7 linked regions of the Rattus norvegicus genome follow. The protein of the gene in region 7 interacts with the protein of the main gene of each other region in a pairwise test. Links are inferred from orthologs where the notes say so. Each region holds a gene or a part of one and is shown on either strand. Other genes may lie near its edges. The genes, in order: Rab14, Tnpo2, Edrf1, Deup1, Rab4a, Rab4b and Exoc5.

The links.
Region 1: the proteins of Exoc5 (region 7) and Rab14 interact in binary tests that used the Homo sapiens proteins (3 or more experiments, as listed by UniProt). The two-hybrid records come from large-scale screens. The link is inferred for Rattus norvegicus from reciprocal best matches to the Homo sapiens genes EXOC5 and RAB14.
Region 2: the proteins of Exoc5 (region 7) and Tnpo2 interact in binary tests that used the Homo sapiens proteins (3 or more experiments, as listed by UniProt). The two-hybrid records come from large-scale screens. The link is inferred for Rattus norvegicus from reciprocal best matches to the Homo sapiens genes EXOC5 and TNPO2.
Region 3: the proteins of Exoc5 (region 7) and Edrf1 interact in binary tests that used the Homo sapiens proteins (3 or more experiments, as listed by UniProt). The two-hybrid records come from large-scale screens. The link is inferred for Rattus norvegicus from reciprocal best matches to the Homo sapiens genes EXOC5 and EDRF1.
Region 4: the proteins of Exoc5 (region 7) and Deup1 interact in binary tests that used the Homo sapiens proteins (3 or more experiments, as listed by UniProt). The two-hybrid records come from large-scale screens. The link is inferred for Rattus norvegicus from reciprocal best matches to the Homo sapiens genes EXOC5 and DEUP1.
Region 5: the proteins of Exoc5 (region 7) and Rab4a interact in binary tests that used the Homo sapiens proteins (3 or more experiments, as listed by UniProt). The two-hybrid records come from large-scale screens. The link is inferred for Rattus norvegicus from reciprocal best matches to the Homo sapiens genes EXOC5 and RAB4A.
Region 6: the proteins of Exoc5 (region 7) and Rab4b interact in binary tests that used the Homo sapiens proteins (3 or more experiments, as listed by UniProt). The two-hybrid records come from large-scale screens. The link is inferred for Rattus norvegicus from reciprocal best matches to the Homo sapiens genes EXOC5 and RAB4B.

What each region holds. Positions count from the first base shown.
Region 1 is NC_086021.1:38,901,685-38,905,184, forward strand, and holds part of Rab14 (ras-related protein Rab-14), read right to left. Parts: intron 1,341-3,500; coding exon 1,253-1,340; intron 931-1,252; coding exon 900-930; intron 1-899.
Region 2 is NC_086037.1:40,021,388-40,025,560, forward strand, and holds the start of Tnpo2 (transportin-2), read right to left. Parts: upstream 2,801-4,173; 5' UTR 2,709-2,800; intron 1,684-2,708; exon of another isoform or gene 1,641-1,683; 5' UTR 1,628-1,640; coding exon 1,529-1,627; intron 1-1,528. UniProt on the Homo sapiens protein: Probably functions in nuclear protein import as nuclear transport receptor. Serves as receptor for nuclear localization signals (NLS) in cargo substrates.
Region 3 is NC_086019.1:197,878,129-197,881,628, reverse strand, and holds part of Edrf1 (erythroid differentiation-related factor 1), read right to left. Parts: intron 1,365-3,500; coding exon of another isoform or gene 1,263-1,364; intron 1,016-1,262; coding exon 894-1,015; intron 247-893; coding exon 135-246; intron 1-134. UniProt on the Homo sapiens protein: Transcription factor involved in erythroid differentiation. Involved in transcriptional activation of the globin gene.
Region 4 is NC_086026.1:20,720,786-20,724,829, forward strand, and holds the start of Deup1 (deuterosome assembly protein 1), read right to left. Parts: upstream 2,801-4,044; 5' UTR 2,716-2,800; intron 1,513-2,715; 5' UTR 1,468-1,512; coding exon 1,439-1,467; intron 1-1,438. UniProt on the Homo sapiens protein: Key structural component of the deuterosome, a structure that promotes de novo centriole amplification in multiciliated cells.
Region 5 is NC_086037.1:68,691,686-68,695,880, reverse strand, and holds the start of Rab4a (ras-related protein Rab-4A), read right to left. Parts: upstream 2,801-4,195; 5' UTR 2,679-2,800; coding exon 2,648-2,678; intron 2,641-2,647; exon of another isoform or gene 1-2,640. UniProt on the Homo sapiens protein: The small GTPases Rab are key regulators of intracellular membrane trafficking, from the formation of transport vesicles to their fusion with membranes.
Region 6 is NC_086019.1:91,597,538-91,601,670, forward strand, and holds the start of Rab4b (ras-related protein Rab-4B), read right to left. Parts: upstream 2,801-4,133; 5' UTR 2,726-2,800; coding exon 2,710-2,725; intron 339-2,709; coding exon 258-338; intron 28-257; coding exon 1-27. Other genes in the region: Mia (melanoma-derived growth regulatory protein precursor), read right to left, coding at 3,955-3,978. UniProt on the Homo sapiens protein: The small GTPases Rab are key regulators of intracellular membrane trafficking, from the formation of transport vesicles to their fusion with membranes.
Region 7 is NC_086033.1:24,803,942-24,807,441, forward strand, and holds part of Exoc5 (exocyst complex component 5), read right to left. Parts: intron 3,337-3,500; coding exon 3,189-3,336; intron 1-3,188. UniProt on the Homo sapiens protein: Component of the exocyst complex involved in the docking of exocytic vesicles with fusion sites on the plasma membrane.

The sequences.
Region 1 (3,500 bases), on a different chromosome or scaffold from region 7:
AAAGACAATCAACAACTTTATTCACAAAGCACAGCTTTCTAGAATATGTAAGGCATTTACGCTGACCTGCAAACCTTTAGTGAACTGTCATGTCTTCCAATTAGCCACTGTCATCTAATAAGAGATTACCAGAAGACTGGGCTAAGAGAACATCGGTTTGCGAACTTCTATCTTCTACTCACTGCAGCTCTCTGTTAATACATTGCATGACACCTGAGATAGCCACTTCTGAAATGACAGCAGGTTCTCCAAATAAAACTTCTCCAAATGTGCTGACAGAATTCCAGGCTTACCAGTATTTTATAAACAGCCATGTGTAAAACTATGCTATCTTTATCATGTGATGGCAACACAGTCATGTTTAACCATGTTCACAGATCGGCTTTCTTGGGACTAAAAATTTGAAGAGGTTGGCCTGTCCTTGCCTGGTGTGGATATAGAACGATGACTGGGGAGTGCTGGGGGTCAATGCTGAACTCCAAGGACAATCAGGAAGTGTTCACTGTGCCCCATTAGCCACTGAGTACATATGTCCTTGAATCATTCTTTAAGGTGATCATTAATGCTGTGTGAACATGCTGGCTGAGCTGCATGTTCAAGATACCAACCTTAACCTTGGCTGTGAGAGTCAGACACTTGTGAGATTGCGCCAGCAGTTTCATGTATTGACCTGGGACCAGGGGACACGATGAGGTACAACTCTTTAAGTTACAAAGGCTCGCACTCCCTTGTACTGTGAAACAAAGGCTTCTGCTCACTGCTCTTCCTGCTGTGGGCACTGTCACAGCCTCACTACACAGCACAGCTCACATGGGTGTCTACAGCATCACCCACTTACACAGCACATGATTCTACTCTACGTGGAACTGAAACATGATCTACATTTTAGCCATACTTACGTTTTTGCACTTGCTTCAAGGAACAATAAGCCTAAAAATAAAATTCAGACTAAAATTAGAACATTGCAGAGTCAGAAGCACTCTTCAGTCACATGTGAGCAGGGCCCACACAGCTGCCCGTCCTCCTCCTCCAGCCCTTATGAAGGAGCACGTGTCTGAGGCAGGGGCAGATCTGCACTTATCATTCAGTAGCTGCATTACTACGAACATGTACCACAGAAACAAACACTTCATTTCCTTACTCAGATTTCTGAAAAGGTTTTTTTTTTTTTTTTAAATATTAAATAACCTGCATGATCTAAAACTCCTCTCCTTTAAAACTCCCACAGAAGAGTGTTAAGTCTTCAACCCACCGTTTTCTTCAGCAAACTGTTTGGCTTCTTCATAGGTAACATCTCTCTGTGCTTCCAAATCTGCTTTATTTCCTATGAGAATTATTACCTAATTTGTGAACAAAAGAAAAGGTGTCTTAGAACAAAAATACCTATGAAAATTCTCAAATACAAAAGTCTTAACAAGACAAAAAACGACCCCTAAGTGCCCTGGACTACAGAGCCTTTACAAAGGCAAGAGCACCAAGAAGGACCCTGGCAACAAGCTGGGTGGGGGACTGACAACCTGCCGTAAGGAAGAGAAGGCATATTTTAGATTTGTGAGCCCCACACGAGTTTTGCTGAATATTATTTTTATTGTTGTCACAAGTCCCTTAAAAGTAGAAAAGTCATTCATTAGGTGAAGATGGCTCACAAGCCAGTTAGTTCATATCTGGTCTAGGCCAAAGAGTAAGCAAGATTAGTAAGAATGCCCTAAAATTAAATGCAAAGCACCATAACCATGAACATTCCCTGGAGGAGGCTTGTGGCTTTCAGGTTCTCAAAAGATTCTACAACCCTGAAGAAACTTGAAAACCACCAGTTTAACTCATTCAGGGTAACAGTAATTACCTTCCCCTTAAATTAAAATAAGACAGAGTTAGCGGAGGGCATTAGAACCCTAGAGAATGCAAACTGTGACGTAGAGACAACACTGTCCTAGCTGATGTTATCCCAGGAGGGTTATAACTTTCTATCACTAACTAGCAATGCTTCTGTCTGTGAAAGAAGCTGGCACGGGATAAACACACAATAGGTTCGAATCCTTGGACAAACATCACCTCACCGTCTACTTTGGAGTTTTACCAAAGTAAAATTGTTTAAAGACTAAAGGTAAGAAAACAATGGTGTTTTGGTTATTTAAGGCACAAAGGGCAGAGATGTCAGCCCCTCTTCTGCCTTTCTGCCTCTTTTAACAGATACAGATGTTAGGAAACAATGATTCCAACCAACAAGTGCTTCCCAACTTTTTTGTCCACATAAAATTAGTACTTTGTCTCTTCCACTTTCAAATGTTGGGGTCCAATGAACTAATCAATTATTTCTATATAAGTTAAATGGTATAATCAAAAAACATTCTTCAAAGTGCAAGTGACCACTGACAAGGGAAAATAATGTTCATAGTCATTTGAACAATAAAATAATGACACTTAAAGAGAAATCCAGCCTAGGATAGGGTCATTATAAGACAGGCATTCAAACCAAGAGGTAAACCTTCTAGACTGAAGGCTGGGCAGAGCATGTGCCTAGCAGGCACACCGTCTCCATCACTTCCCTCCACCACCACCCTCTTCAAAAAGAAGTATTTTCTCTTCCCAACTACACGTCAATCTCCAGTCTCTACTGCCCACCCCCCAAGAGGTCTGGTAACAAAGAGGCACAAAACAGTAACAAAAATGAAAAGTACATACTTTTCCCATAAAAACAAAAGGCAATTTCATAGAAAACAGTAATATAAAGTAGGCTTTGAAAAACATTTTTTAAATTCTTTAGTAACTCACAGAGCCATATTATACTCTCAAACCCAGAAAACTAACATTGGTACAATTACAGCCCTAAGATACCCATTTTTTCAAACCCATTTCTGTGACTATGTCCACATGTGGTTCTGGGCAGTGCAATAACACTCACCAGCTGTCATCTCCATCTGGGCACAGAACTACCATCACCACCAAGAAACTGCTACTGCTGATTCTGCACAGTTCTATCAGCCACCTACCCTTCACTAACCAACCCTTGGCAATCAGTTTGTTCTTTATCTGTCTACAGGACTGCCATTTTGAAACACGCCAATGGGATCATAAAATATGTAAGCTTTTTTTTTTTTCGGAGCTGGGGACCGAACCCAGGGCCTTAAGCGCTCTACCACTGAGCTAAATCCCCAACCCCTGCTTTTTAGACTTTTAAACTCAGCAAAATTCTCTTGAGATTCATCAGTGCTGATGCCGTTACCATAACTCCTTCTTTGGTGTGGCTGAATAGCTCACTGTAGTGGGGATATGTAAAACCAAACTGTTTTGCTATTCACGTGTCTGTGGTAGCTGGCCTGCTTTTGGTTTCTAGTTATCACAAATAAAGCTGCTATGGACATTTATCCATAGGCCTCTATGCATAGCAACAGCGAATTTAATATAAACAAAAACAAAAGCTCTAGGCTCCATACTAGCAAAACTGGTCTCTCACCACTCATTCTCTCTTACCGGTCCAGGCCTCTTAGCAGCACAAGAGG
Region 2 (4,173 bases), on a different chromosome or scaffold from region 7:
CCTTCTCAGGAGGATCACATGACTGCGCTTCCTACACTACCCTTATATCCTTACCAGAGCAGGAGAGGACTGGAAAAAGATGACTTCTCTTAAACTGGCAGCTGCTACTCACGTCTGTGATCTAGGGACTCCAGTGAAACCTGCTTTTCTCGGCAGACTGGAAAGCCACTTGGGTGTGGTGCATGGCCAGAATCCTAGCACCAGGGAAGCTGAGGCAGGAAGATCACCCTGAGTTCAAGGCAAACTTGGGCTACATATTCAGTTCTAAGTTAATAATTTAATCTGTTATACAAAGACCATGACTCAAAAAAAAAAAAAAAAGAAAGAAAGAAAGAAAGAAAAAAGAAAAGAGCCCAGGGATATAACTCAGTGGTAAAATATACATCCAGCATATGTGAGGCCAGACCATTGAGTCTCCAGCCCTATTAAGAGAAAATAAAGCGAGTGGATGACTGAGTTCCAGGAGCAGAGCTTAGGGTACAGGTCCAGGATAAAGCAGGGGCCACACGTTCCAGGCCGGTGTGTTCCACTCTCAGCACTGCACAGAAAGGCGGTGGGCCAGTCCCATTTTCAAATGAAACTCAATACTGTTTCAAACATTTAATTTTATATTTGAGATAGTCTTCATAATACCAGGCTGCACCCAAACTCCGAGACTCACCAGCCTCTGCCACCTGAATACCGTTATTACACGATTCAAGGTGCATGCTATCATGGCTATATCATTTAAAATTCGGGACTTGCTCTAATTTGCTTCTCTGTCCTGTGATAAAGCACTTGAAAGAACCAAGTCAGGGAACAAAGCATTTGTTTTAGCTCATCAGGGAGAAGTCCTAAAGTGGGAACTCGAGGACTAAAACTGAAGAAAGCACTACACAAAGCTGCTTACTAGGTCCTCCCCACTCACATCCACCAACCTTTCCTACACAGCCCAGAACCTATTAGTAATCAAAACAATTCCCCACAGCCATGCTCGCAGGCCAAGCTGATTGAGATTCTTCAACTGAAGGCCCCTCTTCATAGGTGTACCAAATTAATAACAAAACTAACCAGGACTTTAAATATATATATACATATATACATGTAAATGTATTTATAAAAGCTCTTAGGAAAAAAGCTTCCAACTACAAAAACATTCATGTTTCAACTCAATGTCCCTACCCATCCATCTACCCTCATTCTGACAAGGCAGACTGGATTAAAATCGGAGATGGCTGGATGCCTGGTCTTCTCAAAACCCTGGTTGCTAGCTGAGGCTTGGCCAAGGCATTTCCCCTTTAGAAGACTCCAGGTTCCCATGTATTAAAGGAAAGTCAACAACTCTCACTTTAACGGTTAAAGAATTAAGTACTCAGTGAACATCAGGCATCCCCATCATTTTCTCCACTTCCAGAAATGGAACCCAAAGATCTAACCCTTTAATTCTCGTCCATGTCATGTTCTCTCACAGCAGAAAGAGTCTGGGAATCAAGAAGTAGTCCCTCCCTCTCTGCCCTGTTCCACGAGCCCCGGAAGGAAAGAAGGATACATCCTGCACTATGCGCTGAGTAGCTGTGTTGGGCGACTGCGAATCTTTGAGAAGCTGCAAGACCTGCTGCAGGCCCTGCTCGTCTGGCTGCCAGTCCATGGTGCAAGGCGAACTGCAGGGGTAGGAGCCTGGGTCAGCGCTGGGTCGCTGGAGTTCTGTGTGAGACCCAAGTTGAGTCCCCGAGGCAGAGGCGGCTGCATGCAGACGCAAGCGCTCTCCGCGGACAAGCGGAGGCCTCCAATCCGCGCCCGTCCAAGTGCGGGGTCCCCGCCAGCTATGCCATCCTCGGCCACGCAGTCGCGGGCTCGGGAGTGCATGTGGGGGGAATATAAAAGCGGGCCATCAGGACCAGCGGCGGGGGCGCGACGTATCCACATCGAGCCTAACGAGGAAACCCTCTTTCCAAAGAGGTCCACGCCACCGCCGCCCCCAGCTACGGGCCTCACGGCTTCCGCCTCCCTCGAGGGCTAGGGGCTCCGCCCCAGCGGTCTTTCAGGTGAAGGCTCAGTCCACGAGGATTCCCTTCCCCAAAATCCAGCCTTCCAGCTCCGCTAGATGCCAGCCGCCTCCTAGATTCCTGAGCTCTTCTAGGTCCCTAAGCGCCCAGATCCTGCTTATCCCTGCTCCCTCTTCTAAACCGGCTCTACAAGCTCAGTAGACGCCACATGCCCCCCTTTCTGACCTAGACGCGGCCCAGTGACTCTCCTTAACCAGAATACAAGCAATCCCGATAAGTCTCCAATGTCTCTTTGAATGAGAGCCAGTCAAAACCGCCCAACCCAGGACCAAAGCCCCCAATGCCCGCTGCCTGCCCCAATCAGATCTGGCCAAGCCTCTCTAGCCCTTACCCTCCTCCCCAGTCAGCAGGAATTAATGCTGACGGATCTCTGGCAGTTCCCCCAATCAAATTCCCCTAAGCCCCCCGACCACTTCGTGTCGGAGACCCCATCCGTCCAATCCCTGCAGCTTCCCTTAAAGAGTCCCGCACAAACACCCGCCCGGTGCGCTACCCTCAACGGATCCCATCACCGCCTCGCAGTCAGACTCAGCAAAGCCCTCTGGCCTTAAGTCTGACGCCCCTCCCTATCAGGACCAAACAACCTTCCCCTCTCAACTTTCAAGGCTGTCTACCCCCAGTCAGACCCAACCAAGCCCCGCAGAAACAGACCCCCACACACACCCGATCCTCGCGACGTCCCCCGACGATTCCCCCAATCAGGGCCCCTCCAGCCCGACCCCAGCCGCCCCACTGGCCCGCATCTCGTGGCACCCGAACCTGCCCGGGCGCCGAGGCCCCACCCCTTGAGATCAGCTCAGCTCCCCCTCCCCCGCCCGGCCCGTTCTGCCGGCCTCGAGAGCTGGCCCAACCCGGTACCCCGCCTCTCAGCCGGGCGCGACCCCGACGCCTGGACGGCGCGCGGCGCAGGCCCAGAACCCAGGGAGGTTCGAGGCGAGCTGAAGCCAAGGGGCCCGGGCCGAGCGAGGCCCACCTACCAGGCCCCGGGAGGCAGCGGAGGCGCCTAAGTGCTGCAGCTTCTCCAGAGGCTCGCGCGGAAGGAGGGAGCCAGAGGCAGGGAATAAGAAGAAAAAAAAAAAAAAAAAAAAAAAAAACGCGGCCGAAATGAACAGTTTCGGCTTCCGTACGCCGTTCAAACTGGCCTAGCCGAACCAATCGGAGAGCGAAGCACTCACACGTGATCTGGCACAGAGCGGCCTAGCCAAGTTGAATCACGTGAGAGAATAAGCACCGCCTCTAGGCCTCTCTAGCCATTAGGTCCTCCCAGCGTCTCTTTCCCTTTTTCTTACTGCAGCTTTCTTATTTAATGTATATTGGTGTTTTGCCTGAACCATGTGCGCGCAGTGCCGTAGGGACCAGAAGAAGGTATTGGACGCCTGTGAAGCTGGTGGTGGTGAGCCATATGAATGCTGAAATCAAACCTGGGTCCTCTGCGAGAGCCGACAGTACTAGACTCCAGCCCCCAACTGCAGATTTTTCAGGAGCTAGAAATTTGGTAGTGCATGGGTGCTCTCGGTGTGTAATGGACCTAGGGATTCCCTCAACCACAGCTAACCGTGCCCTTGCTAAAACTCCCTAAGATTTAAACTGTTCGCAGTCCGGCATGCCTCAGAACTGCCGGACTGTGGTGAGGGAGGGGAGGGATAGAGAGTACGGCAACAGTGTGCCCCCTAGTACCAGGAAAGCCTGGGCTACATCACAAAAGCCATGGTCTACGGAGCTGGTTCCAGGACAGCCAAAGCTACACAGAGAAACGGGGAGGGGGGAGGGAGCCTGTTTCTCTTTCGCGCCTCCAAATAGCACTACACCGACATAAAGAGCAGGGCATGCAACTTGGGCTGCTGCGTTTTTTCTTTTACAAGAGCAACTCTCTGTTCTGTTATTGTTCAATACTGTTTAACACTTTACATGGAACTGAGAAAAAACACATGGCAATTTTTTTAAATTTATGTTTGTTTTGCCTGCATTCATGTCTGTGCTTCACGTTTCTGCCCGATGGCAGAGAAAGTCAGGTGTTAAATCTGGAACTAGAAAGCTACAAGACAGTTGTGAGCTGCCATGTACGTGTACTGGCACTTGAAACCAGGGTCCTGTGGCAAAGCAACAAGTGCTCTTAATCGCTGAGTCG
Region 3 (3,500 bases), on a different chromosome or scaffold from region 7:
ACACTAAAATTTCAGTTCATTCACATCTATCTCGGAGCCAAAGACACATCTTCATATTTAAAGCCTTAAAAATGTGAAATTCTCTCTGCACCATTCTACATTTGAAAAATTAGAGCCATCACCCCGTGTCTTACCTGTACAATCCCATTTACATGGAAGCACATCACAAGTTCTGGTACATTGCATATCAAGTTGTCCAACCAATAGTCAATTCCAGTCAACACATTAATTGGTTTGTTGTTATCCCTGAAAAATATACATTTCTAGTGTTATTTGGTTAAATAAATGTCCCATAATGAATCATCTTAGATGTATTTTCCCATTTAAATATCCTAGTCTTTTCTCTCTAGACAGAGACTGCCATAGATGTTTTCTAATATGAAGACCCAGACACATAGCTCAACAGTTGTGTTATGTCTAGAATCTTCTCAAAAACTTTGCATTTCTAACAGGCATTGATAAGTTCTCAGTACAAATGGAAGATTACGGTATGATGATGCGACTGTGAGCTCCTTGCATCCTAAGGAAACACTGACCATATAAATGATAATGCCCAAGTCACAACTCCCATTGGTTCACAAGCATGGAGCATTAAGAAAATGTTCACAATTGCATAAGGGGAAGGTGGTCAACCACCTCAAGCAATTAAATAAACTCTTCTATTTTCAGTAGTTGTAGCCTCAACCATAAGACAAGGCCAGTTCCACAGACATATGGTCTAGTCTTTTAATCAGGGATCAGAATGGACACCTGTTTACTGGGCTATCAGCATCTGTTTTCTCTCTTTCTGTGGCTATTCTCTTTGGCAGGAGGAAGGAGAAGAAAATAGGGAAAGAGGAGAAACCAACAGTCAGAGAAGAGCTAATCAGACATTGCACTTTAAGGTGGTTTACCTGAGACGTAGGCTAACTGCTGGATATCTGCCTCCACCAAATATAGGCATGTTAGAACCAACTAGCATATGGATATCTTCAAAAGTCCACAGAATATTCCGGACAAAATCATTTTTAAGACCCTTTAATTTAAAACAGGAAAGATTATAATAACAGCAGATGGACAATTTCCCCCCATGATCCAAAGAAACACCAGGAAAGAAGAAGCAGAGACAAGGTCAATTCCCAAGAGCTGTAAGACAGAGAGATGTTTACAAAGCAATTTTGAAACCTAGTGGAAATATCCCCTATCAGTTCCAACTGAGACTAGTTTTCCAATGAGGAAGTGGTCAGGGCCAGTTGTCTCAGATGGGCACATGGAAAGCATACCTGACTGTTCTCCCCGTCATTGAACAAAGTAGTAAGGTTTTGCTCTTTGGGTGCTGAGGCCACATGCCCCACTATGCATGAGGGCTCAAGAGGCTCTCTGCCCTGTGGAAAGTGCAAGATAAGGAGTGACTGTGCTGCCAACACGGCTTACAATTGACCTATGCTTACAGAGTTATCACCCACACACAAGAACACACACCCCAATCTACCTGTATGAATTAGCCAGTACAATGCATGGTGCTCATAACTCATGGGGTATAGCTTGCTTTACCTATGATTTCCCACAACTGCTTCAAACCAATCATATTTATCTCTTAAATGAGGTAGATTTAAAGATCTTTCAAAGAATCCACTTTCATTTCTTGGTTTTGTAAGTTTGATTACCACTCTCTGGAAGTCCAGCACATCTCTACTGAACTGAAACACCTAGTACCTCCACCAGTTTAAAACAACCTTCACTTCCAGTCTGCAGCTGAGCATGGCCTGTGTGAACTCCACAGAATCCTAAACCCTAGAGACCCAGAGAAAACTTTCCAATTAGTGTGAAAACCTGCTGCCTGCCATACACCTGCTTTTAAAGATTAATGTCTATCGAACACCATTCTCCCTACCACTGTCCTAAAAACCAACCAAACAAAACTAAACAACCCAAAATCCAAATCTTTTAAATGGAATTAAATTAAATTAAAAAAATCTACCTCCTTCTCTGTATAATCCAATGTCCTCCCATCTTTTAATATTAAAACTCCTCCTTTTTTTGAGACAGGGACTCTCTTTGTACCCTATCCTTTTGTTTTCTAAATGTATCTCAGAGTCTGGAATACATTTAGAAAAATACCCATATTTTGGGTAAACACAGCATATCATGCAGTTTTGCAGCCATCAGGCAGCTGTCACCAGGAGACATTTGACTATCAATCCTCTGCCTCTGGCCTTGGGATGTGTGCACGTACATGCCTTCATGAAGCTATCTTAGTCTACTGACTTAGAGGAAGATAAAGGCTCCCCTGGAGCTGGAGTTAAAACAGCTGCCCAATGTGCGTGCTGTTATGGAACGCAGACCCTCCAGCCACTCTTCTAGCCACTGTAATGTGAGTTTTAAGAAATCCTGTTACAGATAGCACATGCAATAAAACACATAAAGTAATGATACACCTCTACTCCTTCCTCTAACCACTAAGTGACTTAAATATTATGCACCTCCCTCCTTTCAAGAGAAATCCTTGGGGAAAAAATAAACCCAAACACCTCAAATTCATTTATGTACTTTTATGGAATGTCTTCTCTAAAATTAAAACCAAGTTAGTCATTTTTTTTTTATAAAAGCAAGTTAAATGTGTTAATTTTTTACAAGTCTATTATAATGTGTAAAGACTGAACCAATCTGGCTGAATCATGTTCAGTACATGAAAATACACAGCAAGACAAAAAAAAAAAAAAATTTTACCAAGCTAAAAGCTTTATTTCTTTGGGCTTATTTTAGTGTATTTTCCTAAAAATAAAAATGCCACAAATTAGCATCTACAGTGTTATTTCATCCTATGGAAGACACAGTAAGTTAAAAACAAGTAACTAGGGGCTGAAATGATGGTTAAGAACACTGGCTCTCTTCCACAGAACCCTGGTTCAATTCCCAGTGGGAACATGGCAGGTCCCAACTGTCAGTTATCTCCAGGGAATCCAATACACTTTTGTGGCCTCTGTAGGCATCAGACATGCACACGGTACTATTCAAAAATGCAGGCAAGGGGCTGGGGATTTAGCTCAGTGGTAGAGCGCTTACCTAGGAAGCGCAAGGCCCTGGGTTCGGTCCCCAGCTCCGAAAAAAAAAAAGAACCAAAAAAAAAAAAAATGCAGGCAAACACTCATATACGTAAGATAAAAATAAATTAAAATCTCAAAAACCAATAATGTAAATAAGAAGCCAAGAGGATGAGATAAATAAGACAATAGTCTATCCTTTCTTCACATGGGCTGGAGAGATGGCTGAGCAGTCAGGAACACATGCTGCTACTCTAGAGGACCTAGGTTCAATTCCCAGCACCCCTCATATGGCAGCTCACAACTGCCTGGAACTCTAGTTTCAGGGGATCTATCAAACCAGGCATGCGTGTGGTGCACAGATCTGTGCATACGGGCAAAACATCCATACATATAAAACAGATTTTAAATCTTCATATAATGTTAATGTGGGGCCAATTCTATTTTCCAGGGGGAACACCATCCATTTTAGAATGA
Region 4 (4,044 bases), on a different chromosome or scaffold from region 7:
TCACTGCTGACTGTGCATTTGAGGCCACCAGCGTTGTCAGAGTGAATCCACAGAAGATAGATTAGAGATTAGAAGATGGTTTCCACCATCCTCTTCAGAGCTTCACCCAAGCGTCAGGTGATCGGGCAAGCTGAGCAGTCCTGAGTCCAGCGTCAACCATGTATGGAATTCCTGATCTATAGCTAGGCATGTGCTACCCAGCTGGAGAGCACATTTCCGAGCCTTTTTTTTCACGACTCCGTGTGACTGAGTTCTGGCCAATGTTAATGAACACAGGGGAGCCCGACATCTCTAGGCAGACTTCTAGAAGGAAAGTCTTTCCTGCCCTTGTTTCCCCCTCACTAAGACCAGGATGGAAAACAGTCACAATGCTGGAGCTAGAACCGGAGCAACCACTCACTCTGACATAGAGATGGGTTTGCATGTTACTTAAGGCTGTGCACTTGGTGTGCATGTGTGTGCGTGTGCGTGCGTGTGTGTGTGCCTGTGCATGTGTGTGTGTGTGCGTGTGTGTGTGTGTGCCTGTGCATGTGCATGTGTGTACATGTGCGTGTGTGTGTGCATGTGCGTGCGTGCATGTGTGCGTGCGTGTGTGTGTGTGCCTGTGCATGTGCGTGTGTGTGTGTGTGTGTGTGTGTGTGTGCGCGTGTGTGTGTTTCAGGGGTTCTGGCTCTACTATAATGTATTCTGTTTTCTTGTTGAGAATAAGGGCTATGGCCAGGAGATCGGACTCGAAACGTAGTCTTAGTTACTCATGCTTCTCTCCTTTCCTTTACCTGATGTCAGAGTCACAGGGGAAGCAGAGTCACTGGAAGTGAGACGCTAGAGTTGTGATTGGGTCAAAAGCAGCCACACTCAGGACTGGGCTCTGATGTGAGTGCCTCTGCTGCCTCAGTGTGAGTCCAGCAGAGGCAGAAGGATAGTGAACTCTTCATGGTGCTGATGCAGGAGAAGAGGCAGGACAAATAATTGTGAAGCGGAATTTGGCCCATTTCCTATGGTGAATGTTCTCCAAACCCCATTCTAAAATATCCAATTCTTGCTGTGCTATGGAAATATATGCATCGTGGGGCTGTGTTTATATGTTGAGAAAATGTGGCCAGTCTTATGTAGGAGCAGAGAAACCACTCACCCCAGCAAGAAAAGGCCAGGAAGTGCTGTGCTGTGGACATGTTAAGGGCTGAGGAGGCCAGCGTGGGTCCCCAACCTGTGATGCTGACGTATCAGTCGGGAAGCGCTGTCTTCCAGGGTATAGACTCAACATCAGAAAGATTCACACGAATAGAGACTTCATAACTTACTTGAGATTTTCTGTCTATTTACCCCCTCCCCCAATCAGCACATCCTATTTTTAACAATTCATTTCAGAACTCACGCTTCCTCCAGGACTTCTGGGCATAAAGATGAGCTAATTAAATAGAATTTCTGCAGCACTTACCCTGCCGTAGTATGGGCTTGGTTCTCCATGCCAAGAAATGTTTACATCTGACTTGGTACTTACTGATATTTAATCTGTGAGGAGGGAAATTATTTAGAATTATAAAATGCTTACACATATTAATATAAGATATGATATTTTTGCTGTTGGCAGCCACTTAGTATAGGTTTTGTGAGCATGGAAGCTCTAGCTTTGACAAGTACAGAAGGCCCACGGTGGGGGTGTGGGTGTGGGTGGGGGTGTGGGTAGGGTGTGGGGGTGGGGGGTGGGGGGTGGGGAGGTTTCTTTGGCTTGAAGTTTCCACACAAGTAGGAATACTGGCTCAGCATTTGTTTGCAATATTTGGTACTGGCTGAAACCAGAAAGCATTCCTCCTTAACTCAAAGGCAGCTAGGTGTCAGTGGCCTTTTCAGAGTGCTCAGTTCCTAATTCTTGCTCTGAGAAGTGTTGTCTAGAAGCCCTTGGAGTTTACATCTTAGCGACTCCCTATCCTCTGCCTTGGAGTATATTCTTTTGTTGGCTTTTCTTGACCTTTTAAAGGAGTAGATAAAGCAGGAGATTTAGTACAAAAGTCCAAGAACAGGAGCTGGACAACTGGTCCAGCAGTCATTGAGCTTAGAGTGCAGAGAGAGGACCCCAGCACTGGTCGGGGAGCTCAAAACCACCTATAACTCTAGCTCCAGGGCAATCAGATGCCCTCTCCCTCCCTGGCACCTACATCCCTCCCAACCCTCCCCATATCACCCCCTACACCTCCCCATACCCCCTCACACCACCCCTACAACACAGACACACTGTTGTCCCATTAGTGGATAAACTTATAAGGATAAATGAACAAAGTGGTAAATTGGACCTAACCTTACTAAGAAGTATATGAACTAATTAAGTACCTGAGAAAGAGAAGGAGAGGGGTAGGGAAGGAAAAAGAGAAGGTGTTGAAGAGGATGAAGAGGAGGAGGAAAGAGAGGAGAGGGTAAAGGGAGAGAGAAGAAGAGAGTGGGAGAGGGGGAGGTGAACAGGATGAATATGAAGAAGGGGAAGGAAAGGAAGGAAGGGGAAAGGGGATAGGAGGAATCTCCATTCAGACCGTTTAGCACCACAGGAAATTGCAGCAGTGGGGCAGACACTGGAGGTGACAGGAGACAAAACTAGATCAAAAAGTTCAGACAAAAGAGGGAAACTGAGGCACACTCCCAGGGTCTGCTGGAGGCAGTGGAAGCCAGCTGCTGCCTAGGGGAGGGACAGGTCCTGGGTTCAGGGAGTCAGCCGCCTGTTACCTGTACTGCTGTCTGGAGAGGTCTGCCCTGGCCTGGGCTGTGGGTCCCGCCCGCAGCACCCCGCCCGGCCGGCACCGTTGGCCTCTGGTCCCCAATGGGTTGCCATGGAGACGCGGCCTCCGCACCGGTCTGCTTCCCTCCAGCCGGAACTCCCTAGTACTGGCGCGGTCAGTGCCCAGTCCAGTGCCTCCAAGATCCGCCCATCCTGGCTAGCTGCGGCCCGCCGCACCCAGGGGCGCGAGAGAAGCGCGGGAGGACACTGCCCAATCAGAGAGCTGGTGGGCCACCAGGAGCGCCACAGAGACTGGGATACCTAACTCTGGGCCTCAGCCCTCTTCCCAGAGGAAACCAGGGTTGGGAGGGAAAGAACTCCAGGCAAAGGCCCTTTGAATTCACCTTAGTTAACTTCCAGCTGGGAATTGGTTAGGCTCACTCCTCTGTCACTGTATTCGCACCATTTAAACCTCTCTCTTCCTCACAGTTCTCTGAGTCCTTGGAAAACTGCCAGTTAGGTGGATTAGGCTGTATTGGGAACAAGGGAGTAGCTTCTAGTGGTGGGAACCAACCCGGATCCTCGGTAACTGATTCCAAATTCTTTCCTTTTCAGCCACATTCCAACCATAATTGATGACAGAATCTCAGTCTGACCCTGTTGATTTCACTTAGAAAATGACGTTATATACCATAATGCATATATATGTATATGTATGTATATATACACATATACACACATATGTAACAGAATACACACATACAGTATAGAAATCACAATACATTGATACATGTACTATTTACAAGTTATATATAATATACATACGTGTATATATACTTGGCACAAAATACAGACAATAAAGAAATCACACATGCACTGATACATGTATGTTATTATATACATTATATAATTACATATTAATTTATTATATATTATATGTATTATATTACATATTACATACTACATACTGCATAGTACATATTACACATTACACATTATATATTATATATTATACACACACACAGGTGTGACAGCAAGCATGTGAATTGGGGGATGCTGCTGGGCCTACTTTAGGAACATAACTGTTTCTCAGCATGTTCAGCTGATTGATTGCTAGTTCTTAAAGCCTGTCATTTGCATTCTTTTGACTCATGTCACTTTGCTACTTTAACATGGCCGTCAATTTTAATCCAGCCCACAGTCCTCCATCCAGGTTTGCCCGGTGCTCAGATGAGTCATGTGGAGTAATTCAGGAAGCTAGTTCTGCTTAGTGCAGTTCTGACAGTGACTGGGTGAAGCATGGTCATCTCATCTTATCCTGAAACTTCATTATTCTG
Region 5 (4,195 bases), on a different chromosome or scaffold from region 7:
AAGAAATATTAGATTCAGACTTAGTTAAAAATTAAAACCCTGGGGGTTGGGGATTTAGCTCAGTGGTAGAGCGCTTGCCTAGCAAGCCCAAGGCCCTGGGTTCGGTCCTGGCTCCAAAAAAAAAAAAAAAAAGAAAGAAAGAAAAAAGAAAAGAAAAGAAAATTAAAACCCTGGAAACAGGAACACATGTCTATAATCCTAGCACTTGGGAGGCAGAGGCAGGGGTATTGCCATACGTGTGAGGCCAACCTGGGCTACACGGTGAATTCTAAGCCATCCAGAACTATAGAGAAAGACCCTGTCTCAAAACAAACAAAAAAATAAAACTAAAGTCATATTTGGGAAAAATACCTTGAAATAAGGGAAAAGGTAAATATTCACAGGGCTGCAGAGATGGCTCAGTGGTTAAGAGCACTGACTGTTCTTCCTAAGGTCCTGGGTTCAATTCCAGGCACCCACATGGCAGCTCACAACTGTCTGTGACTCCAAGATCTCCCTCGCACAAGCATACACCTGGGCAAAACACCAATGCACGTAAATTAGAAATAAGTAAATTAATAAACAGGCACACACAAAATGTGTGTGCCTCCTGGTATCTTGCACATGCTAGGTAAGCTCTCTGCCACTGAGTTTTATCTCCAGTCCCTGAGGTAATACTAACAGTGACAGCTTCACGATCAGAGTTTAATCAGTACGCTGTGGTGAGCAAACCCTAATTAACTTTGCGTGCCGTGAAGCAGAGGGTGTGTGGTGATGTCCGCCTTATTACCTATCATTTCCTGAGAGAACCAAGGGACAAGGCTGCCTCCCATGCTGTCCTCCTCCTGCCTCACTTGGCCATGACACCGGGAGGCTTTCTTTGAGGGCTCTACTCCTCCCAGGAACTCCTCAGGCGACTCAAAGAAAAGGATGACAATGAGCTAGAGAGTGTATTTTGCTGGAGGCATTTCTTATAGTGGCTCCTGGCAGAAAAATCAAACCACACCACACCACACCACACCACACCACACCACACCACAGAGGCATACATAGGCCACCTGTGGCCTTGACAAAGCCAGTCACCCACTGGATAGTGCCTTTAGCGTACAGGGACAAGCATTATGCCCCAGTGCCACAGGAAGAGTGGATGCTGGTTCTGGGTGATAGTGGACCAGGCTGTTGTGTGCCTCATGACACCCTTTCCAGGGTCCCACCCTCTCAAAGTCCAAACCGCCGAAGTTCTTCAATTGTGTCCTCACCTTTCTCAAGGTAAGGTGCCCAAGCCACACTCCCAGACCTGAACCCCAGGTCTGCCTGTCCACTTGCCTGTCTCTGACCCATCTAGGTCAGCTCTTTCTCACACAGCCGTGCTGAATCCCTCAGAGCTGCTGCCTGGCTTATAATTGTTCACCCACTAAGGCCACATCTGAAATAAAAATCTACTCCTCGCTGGACTGCAAACTCTTGGGGAGGTTTCCATCGCACTCAGACAATGAGTAGAACCTTCCTGGAGGTACCCTGACCCCACCCTGTGGCAGGAAGAAAGCAGGGGGCACATACTGGATGGGGATCACCTGACAGATCACCACGATTTTCCGTGGGAGTCCCTCTCTGGGACCAGCACAGACTGAGTCAAAGTTTCAGGTCTCAGTACAGGCAAGCGTGGGCCAACCATGCATAGTAGTAGTTGTTTAGTCTTACCTCGGTTGGGGGAGGGGGAGCACCCAGCACGTGCATTGAGAACGCCTGGGTGCTGCAGGAGCAAACAAACAACAACAACAACAAAAAGATGAAAAAAAAACGAAAACAACAACAACAACAAAAAAAAAAAAACCAAAAAAACAAAACCACAGCTCCATATCCAAGGCCTCTGGCCATAAAGAGGAAATATATTTATAAATCTCTATAATGCAAACATATGCTGGAGGAAGGGAGGAAGGGAAAGATACAGGAGGCCAGGGGTCTCCAGAAAAGAGGTGCGTTCATCCACTTAAAACTCATTATAATCTCAATGCAAAGAAAGGAATTCCAAACCTTGAGAGGCCCACAGCCGTGCCCCCAGAGCCACTGAATGCAGGCGTGGCCCAGAACCTTCATCCCCGCGGTTGGTGCTGCAGTGAGGAGGGGGGAAACTCAACGATAAATTGGCTCTTCCAACCCTGAGCCATTTAAACAACCCAAGGAGGAAAATGTAGGGTGAAACCAGGGTCAAAGCAGGGGGGACCTTGGGAGAGAGATTCACAGCAGCTCTGCACAGCTGGGGGCACCTGCTGGCCACCGAGTCCAGCCCAGCGCCTGGCACCCCTAGCTCCTCAAGATTCCAACCTATCCTGAAACACCCAGACATTCTCAAGTTCCAGCTCGACCTTGACACCCCAAGAATCTCAGGCTCCCAGCCGCTGACACTTCAGGATCCTCAGTATCTCCACCCGGCCCCTAACACCCAGATTCTCAGGATCCCAACTGCTGACATGACTAGAATCCCAACCCAACCCTAAACAACCCAAGATTCTCAATATCTCCACCTGGCCCCTGACACCGCGAGGTTTGCACGACATCTCGATAGTCTAGACACCGGCTCTGGACACCCTGACTGACCCCAGCCCCCAACATTCCGGGACCCCAAGGCCTGCCCCTCTATCCTCGCACGCAAGCCCGCGCGTCCTACCGTAAGTCTCGGACATGGCGGTCTGCGCCATCCTGCCGCCACAGCTCCACGGGGTTCGTCCTCCAGTCTCCGCAGAGCGAGAGGAACCGAGTGTGGAGAGCCGGGTACGGGCCCACGGCGAGCCGGCCACCGGCTGCGGCCCAGCGGGACTCGGCTCCGCGCCTGCGCACCGCCGCCCGGCGAAGCAGCCGGGCGGAGGGGGGAGGGGCGGGGTCGCAGGAGGAAGGAGGAGCGAGGTTGGGGAAGGGGAGGAGGGAGGGCAAGAGAACTGGTTAGAGGCTCCTACTCGGAGGAGGAGGCGAAGGTGAGGGAGGATGAAGGAGGGAACCAGGAAGGAGGAGGGCGGGGCTCGGGAGGGGGCGCCTGCGCCCCATAGGTCCTCCCAGATGGCTTAGCAGTACAGACTCAGTCTTCCTTAAGTGTTACCTACCAGGCTAGGGTGCACAGCAGGCCGCCCGCCCGAGGGCTTGTTTTGACAGAAAGAGGGTTCACCAGCAGAAAGCCAACTCCAGCTCAGGCAGGTGTGCTTGGTCACGTGAACTCTCCTGCTCCCCGCTTTAGTGGACAGTGCAGTGTTGCGTGGCCCTGACTGCAGGCTAATTTCAAAGGTGTGTTCGGTTTATGGAACAATACAGGTCAGAACCTATTCCTTCTTCCGAGGAAAAGGGTCGGGACACTTATTGAACGGGAAACTGGGGACAGGAATTTGACCCACCTGAGCAAAGCAGGGCCTAAGAGCCTGCCTTCTTCACAGCTGCAGAGACCGGATCTGTGGAAAAATAAGACGTGGGGAGGGAAAGGATCCCCCTTCATCCTGGAATCTTGTTGAAGTCCCTTGCTGGCACAGCATGCGAAATTGACTGTTGAGATTGCCTGGCATGGTGTCCCTTGCCTATAATCCCAGCATTTGGGAGGCGTAGGCAGGATTGTTTCAAGTTGAAGGTTTACCTGGGCTACACAGCAAGGAGGGAAAACAGATGATAGAGACACGACTCCAAAAAAAAAAAAAAAAAAAAGTAAATACAATTTAAAATAACAAGAATGAGTGCCTGCACAATTCATTTAATATAGAGATATTTCATATAAGAATGTTAAAATAGCCCAGCAGTGTTGGCGCATGCCTTTGATCCGAGCACTGAGGAGGCAGAGGCAGGCGGATCTCTGTGAGTTCGAGTCCAGCCTGGTTCCAGGGTGAGTTCTCGGACAACCAGGGCTACACAGAGAGAGATCTTGTCTCAAAAAAAAAAAAAAAAAAAAATGTTAAAATAGCAAGGAACTGAGCTGAAGGCCTGAGAATGTGCGACCCTTGAGCTCTGTTTCATTTCTTTTCCAGCTGAAAATCTGCAATATTCAGAGTCGCTCACAAACAAGATTACATCCAAAACACCTGTCTTGCTTGGGCATGGCGGCACAGGCCTTTAGCTCCGGATCTCAGAAGGCAGAGCCAAGCACTGCTGAGTTAAAGGCCAGTCTGGGCTCCACAGTGAGTTCTAGGCAAGCCAAGGCTGCATTGGGAGACTAACCCTACCTCAGGAACAACTCTATGAT
Region 6 (4,133 bases), on a different chromosome or scaffold from region 7:
CAATAGTGTGGTTGGAGTCCTGTTTGACTGAAGTAGGAGGGAAACGGGAGGCAGTGCAGGGGCTCCTGGAATCCCCCCCCCATGCAGACCTCCTCCATTTCTGAACCCCAATTTCTCACTGCTGGGTTGGCAGAGAACTTAGCAAAGACCACCCAGACCAAGCCAGAGGCAAAACCTATAGCACTAGCTTTATCCAGCGGCACCTGCCACCTGCCCCGCCTGCTGCCCAATGGCCCAGGGTCCCACCAGAAACTCACACTTATTCTCAATAAACTGATGGAGGAGACATGATTTGCCAGTTCCGGCACTGCCAATCACCAGGAATTTGAAGAGGAAGTCTGAGCAGATGGCACCAAAGATATCCAGAGGGAGAGAAAGACAAAGGGAGTAAGAGAAGAAACAAAGTCAGAAGGAAAGATGCACAAAAGTAGAAATACAGCCATGCATTAAAAAGAGAGAGAGAGAGGGGAAAAAAAACTTTTTTTTTTAAAGTCTACAGTGCTGGGCTGGAGAGATGGCTCAGTGGTTAAGAGCACTGACTGCTCTTCCAGAGGTCCTGAGTTCAAATCCCAGCAACCACATGGTGGCTTGCAACCATCTATAAATAAAATAAATAAATCTTTAAAGTCTACAGTGCTGTGGATAGAACTCAGGACATCCTGCATGCTAGCCAGCCTAGCCCAACATGATTTTTTTCTTTTGAGACAGGGTTTCTCTGTGTAGCCCTGTCTGTCCTGGAACTTACTCTGTATACAAGGCTGCCCTGAAACTCAAAGATTGCCCTGCCTCTTCCACCAGCCTGAGTGCTGTGATTAGAGGTGCGCACCCCTACTGGGCTGGAGATGACTCCTTCCTTCATTATTATCATTGATGTTCCAAACAAAGTTTCACTATGTAGTCCAGACTGACCTAGCCGTCCTCAAACTCCACACTCATCCTGCCTCAGCCTCTAAAAGAGTGCGCTGCCATCCCCTGTATTTCTTTCGTTCTTTTCCCACTCAGGGACTCATTGTGTAGCACTATCTGGTCTTGAACTCCAATCCTCCTGCCTCAGCATTCCCACTGCTGGTAGTACAGGATGTGCCAGCACACTCCCTGTTTCTTTCTTTCTAAAGAGTATTACTTTGCTGACCTCTAACTTGAAGCAGTCCTCCTGCCTCAGTTTCCCAAATGTGAGGGTTAGAGCACACAAGATTATTCTTATATAGTGTTTACCATTTACATGCCCATCACAGTCCTAAAGACTGTTATGAAATGTCATCAGCTCATTGAATCATAAATGAAATCATAAAAAAGCTCTAAAGAAGGAATTAAACAGCTCGAGAGATGGCTCAGCAATTGAGAGCAGTGACTGCTCTTCCAGAGGTCCTGAGTTCAATTCCCAGCAACCCCAAGGTGTCTCACAACCATCTGTAATGGGATCCGATGCCCTCTTCTGGTGTGTCTTAAGATTGCTCCAGTGTACTCATTAAAAAAAAATGTATACATTAAAAAAAATTTTTTTAAAGAGAGAAGGAAGTATACTAAGTTCTTCTACTTTCCAGACTAGGAAAATGAAGCCAAAGAGGTTAACTGACCTACCCAAGACCACACAGCTAGGCACAGCTAAGATACAAATCCAAACCAAAGGTCTCCACAATGCAAGACTTTAGCTGGTGCAATTCAAAAGCCATTTCAAAAAAAAAAAAAAAAAAAAAAAGAACAAAAAAGAAAAAAAAAGAAAAAAAAAAAGAAAGAGGGGGTTGGGGATTTAGTTCAGTGGTAGAGCGCTTGCCTAGGAAGTGCAGGGGTTGGGGATTTAGCTCAGTGGTAGAGCGCTTACCTAGGAAGCGCAAGGCCCTGGGTTCGGTCCCCAGCTCCGAAAAAAAGAACCAAAAAAAAAAAAAAAAAAAAAAAAAGTGCAAGGCCCTGGGTTCGGTCCCCAGCTCCGAAAAAAAAAAAAAAAAAAGCCATTTCAACAAGAATCAAAGCTGGACTCCATTCCTCTTCACTTCTCCTACCACCCTCTCACCCGTTCACTCTGTCAAGGCCTTTGACATTGGCCCTATTTCCTAACCCGGTTACCTCCCAAGGTAACTGTGCACCAGACTCTTTGGCTTTTCTATGAGCGTTGAATGAATGGAGCTGTCTCTGATTGTTGTCAGAGTTTTCTACTGCCCTCCAACCTCCCTTTACCCACCTGACAGTGTGCATCCATATTGACTGCCTAACTCTGAACCTCTTCTACCCATCCTCTGTCCAGAACCCCTGGCCTCTATCCTTAAACTTCAGCCGCATCCCTTGGCGCTAAATTTCAAATCTATAACTCAGGAACATCATTCCAGCCCTTTCAAACCAGATCAACCCCACAGACTGCAGGGTCCACAGCATCTGTGTGAAGCTCTCTCTGGAGTCCATAAAACACGACCCTTGCTAGTTAGCCCCGCCCTATCCACTCACGCTCCGCCCAGGAAGACTTGCTTCCCTCTTCAAGGCCTACCACCTACCCTAATCCACCACGACTAGGTCCCTCAAATCCCGCCTAGATCTTTTTAATCCGTAAAGCGGTCTCTTCAAGCTCCACCCAAATCGATTAAACTCAGCCCCAGACTCACTTAGCCCTGCCCCGTATCCCGGCAGACCCCGCCCACCTGAACAGAAAGCCCCGCCCCACTTCCACATCCACATCCACTAAGGGCCCAGCCCCCCGCTTCGGCCCACTATCCTCACCGTAGGTCTCAGCCATGGCTCGGTGGCGACCGCTGAGGGCCGCAATATGGCGCCGCGGCCGCGCCTGTTCCCCGGCTGGCAGCCGCTCCACTCGGGCTGCAGCCTCAGCTCCTTTCCACTCCTGGACCCGGCGCCGCCACTTCCGCCTTCACCCCCCCCCACTCCCGCGCGAGCCTCTGGAGCTGCGGATACCAGGCCACGCTCGCCCAACACAGGGATTGGTGGATTCAGGAGACAGTGGGCGGGACAAGCAGCGCGGATTGGCAGCATGAGAGGGGCTGAGTCAAAAGGGGCGTGACATAGAAGAGCGATTGGTGGAGCAAGTAGGAGAGGGCGGAGGCAAAGATACTGCGCCCGACGGAGGAACGGATTTGGTCAAAAATCGGAGCAGAGACGAGACTCCGGATTGGTTAGACGTAGGCATTGGGGCGGGGACACGAATGCTAAGAAGGAGCAAGGGCAGGATGGACAGAGTTGGAAGAACGGTCTCAGGCTGCTTGGTTTAAATTCTAACCCCACAGGCCGGAAAGAGGAAAGCTGAGAGGACACGCGCACACTGATCCCTAATCTACAAGAAAGCCTCTGCTGGTCGGGCATGGTAGCGAATGCTTTCAACCCCAGTACTTAGGAGGCAGAGGCAGAGGCATCGATGAGTTCGAGGCCAGCCTGATCTACATAATGAGTTTCAGAACAGTCAGGGGCTACATAGAGAAACATGTCTCGGGTTGGGGATTTAGCTCAGTGGTAGAGCGCTTGCCTAGCGAGCACAAGGCCCTGGGTTCGGTCCCCAGCTCCGAAAAAAAAAAAGAAAAAAAAAAAAGAGAGAAACATGTCTCAAAAAAGAAAGAAAGAAAGAAAGAAAAAGGAAAAAGGAAGGAAAGAAAAAGGTCTGTGCCATCTATGCGCTTCTTGGGATCTAATTGGCTCAGACCAATAGTTCAACTCCTTTCTAAAGGGAGGAAAGCATACGTATATTGTACTGTTTATTCCCCTGCTTTGGGTGCCCGGGGTGGGGTGGGGGTTCCAAACCTTACCTTGGAGCAAAGGGCATGCAAAGTGAAACTCTGCCTAGTAACTACTGACGTTACAACATTCAGGGCTTTAATTGGCTAGGTTCAGGAACCCGTGAAACATTCTTTGTACATGCCCACCCCAAAAACCAAAGGGACAAAACACTTTGCAGTTGGCCGCTGTATTTGCCCAAACCGGAAGGGTAACTGCAGGGATAACATCGGTGGGTTGAGCTCATTGACAGTAGAAATCCCATTCCTGAAAAAGAGTAGAAAAAAGAGTAGATAGAAAACCAACCAGTCTTCTGTCATGAAGGCATACATGCAAATAGAGCACTCATATAAATAAATAAATCTTTAAAAAAAAAGAAAGAAAGAAAACCAACCGGTGATCACACTGCAATGCATCTAGCC
Region 7 (3,500 bases):
ATTACACAAAATGTAAATAAACTAAATTCTCTGAGTGGCTGAGTGGAATTTAAAAAGGACTCAACTATATACTACGTATATAAACAAAACCCAACACATTTCACCTCTAAAGACAACTGTACATTATAGAAAGACGAAGAAAGGATATTACAGAGATGGACTCCGTATGAAAAGCAGGTATCATTTAAATCAGATGAAAGCTAAAAAGTGACAAGGATAAGTCATTATATAGTGATTGAACTAATTCAACAAAAGGAACTAACAACTGAAGATATCCAATATTAGAACAACTAAATATGCAAATATTAACAAGTTTAAAGGGAAAGATATGTTCCAATACAATAAAGTCCCTTACAGGGGCTTTAAAATTTCACTTTCAACAATGGATGGATTAACCACCAAAAGACAGGTTAGATAATAAAGAATCAGAATCAAGCTGACCGTAGACCAAAGGAACTTAAGCAGGCAGTTATTAAACATTCCAATCAAGGCCACTGCATGTATATTCTCAAAAACACATGGGACATTTTTCATTATACATGATAGGAGATACAAATTTGAATAAATTCTTAAAAGTTAAGTATATTCTAAATAAATTATAACAAGAAAAATCTTTGGAACTTATACAAATTCAAGGACATTAAACAACTAAATCATCAACAAGTCAATAAAGGAAATGAAATTTTTATCTTGACATGCATGATAATGGAAATAAACCACCAGTATCTTGTGGATGAAGCAATCCTGGCAAGAAGACAAACAACTGTGTTTTAGAGAGCAGACTCGAGTCTGAGCGATACTGCCACCACACAATTACTACACCTAGGCTCAGGGACGGTCATGGAAGAGGGCAAAAGAATCTAAGAGCGGGAAGAGCATGGACTTTTAAAAATGTACCACTTCACATTGAATTGTTGCTACTTTTGATTTCTAGATCTCATGTTTGCTATGCGCATGTCTCCGAGAAATGTCAGAAGCTACACTCATCAGGTCCACCAACAACACAAGAGCTGAGCAAGGATAACAACAGCTATGTTAACCGGGGTTGGGGAGAACTTGAGGCTTCAGCCCTATACAAGAGACTACAGGCAACTAAGGGACGCTGAGGATGAGAAAAAGCTTTCTCCAGGGAATGGCATGTCAATCACCAATAGAATGGTCAACCCGGAAAACATACATACAAGCAACATTATACAGACCGAGAAGGTTGTATTCATGAATTTAAGAATTTAACAATAATTAATTTAAAAAGAGGCCATAAATTTAAAAGAGAGTGAAGAAGGGTAAGTAAAGGGGATGGGAAATAATGCAATCTCAAACTAAATAGAAAAACGATTACAACAAAGACTAAGAGCTAGGTATGGTCATGAACAGTGCTAATCCCAACACTCAGGAGGCAGAGGGTCTGTGGGAACTCCAGGTCAGCTTGGTCAACATAGTGACATAATGGATTCCAGACCAACCAGGGCTACTGAGTAAGACTCTTTGAAGAAAAGGAAAAACAAATTTTCTATATCAGTAAATGAAAGATGAAAAAGTATACATTATAATGAAAGCTATAAAAATACAAAGGATTATAGATTATCATGAATAGAAGTACGTCAACAACTTTGACAGTGTGGAGAAATGGGCAAATTCCAGGACACACGCCTTAGCATAAAGGGGCAGACACCGAGGCTGATGAGATGAGTGACAAGCTGGTGTAGCTGGTGTGACTGGCTGTGAGGGGAGCAACCAACACGGTTCTGCTGGGATCTGACGTTTGCTCCGCGTGAGTAAGTTCAGACCTAGTGCTGTGGACTTGGTCAAATGCCCAAGACCCTAGTGGTGACCCTATTGCTTCTATCTAGCTAAATGGACAGGTTATTAAACTACGCCCTAAAGAGTTACATTTATATACAAAGATTAGTGTTGGCCCAGGCCTAGCCACAGGAAGTTTCTTTTTGATCTGATAAAAACGTTAATACAAATTAGAGAAAGACTGTCGATTTGGTGTGGGACTGTATGCAGGTACCTACTGTCTCTAATCATAGACACAAATTAACTCAGATTAGAGTAAAGCCTTAAATGTAAGCACTAAAATTATAAAACTACAAAATAAGGGTAGTGAAAATACTTCATAACATTGGAATGGATAGAAGCGTCTTGAATGAGACCCCCAAAGCAAAGGAAACAAAAGTAAAAACACACAAGATTACCTTCAACTATAAAGCTGCTACACAGTACAGGAAACAGCAAAGAATGAAAGAAAGCTTACAGAATAAGGAGAAAACAGGCAATTATACAATCTATTAATCATAGGTTCATATGGAGAACACATAAGGCACTAACACGGTGAAAACATGATCATTTTACTTCAGTTAGGAAGGCAAGACAAAAGGTAACATGCTGGTGAGGATATGGAGGAGAGAGAACATCCTACACTGTTGGTGGGAATGTAAACGGCTGTTATGAAAAGTGATGTAGAGGCTCCTCAAAAAGTTAAAAAGGGGGACGCAATAGTCCTGCTACTTAGTATACAAAAAAGGAAAAGAAATCTGCTTGTTTAGAGAGGGCTCTGCATTCCAATTTTATTGCAACAATATTCACTACATCCAAAGACAGAATCAATGTAAGTATCCGTTAAATAGTGGATAAAGATAAACGGTAGATTCACACATGCAGAACAAGCAGTCTCAGAACAACTACTAGTGCGTGACCCTGCGCGTATGCCTAATCTAAAGAAGGGACTCTCGTAGACAGTGGAATGTGGTGAGCAGCGGCTGAGGAGGGAGTGGGAAGAGGTGGGGAGAATGAGGGAAGACCGCTGAACAGAACTGTTGGTTAGGGAACAGAAATGATTTTGGTGTTTTACTGCACCAGTAGGATAACAACAGATTAACAATGTTCTATATACTTTTAAATACTACGAGTACTTTTAAATGTCAGAATAGATCTTAAATGTTTTTACCACAAAGAATAATGAATGTTTGAGAATACACATGCTCATTCTGATGAGAATATTACTCGATGTATAATTTTATCAAAACTTCATATGGTACCTATAAACATACACAATTTGTATAAACCATATTGATTAAGAATATTAAAAAATTAGTAGGTCCTAACCAGGAAGTACATTTTTTCCATAAATGAGATAAAACTTGAATTATACAACTATATCTTAAAAATTAATTTATTATTCTTACCCTATGACATCTTTCAAAGGCTTGTTTGGTTTCTTGTAAAAGATTAACTACCACTTCTTGAGATAGGAAAGTCTCCCCATGTGTGTCAATACTTGGCCCCAGTGGTAAGTTGGTACGTTGTCTAATCCTTTCTTTCAAATCTTGAATACTAGTACACCATAAAGACAAATAAAAAAAAGTTACTATACTTAGATTTATAACTGCAAATATTCTCAACCTTAGAATACATCAACAAAAAAGAAAAAAAAAGTCAAAAATGAACCAATAACCAAGAGACCCAAATTCTAATCACAAGTTTAGTTTTTAAATGAC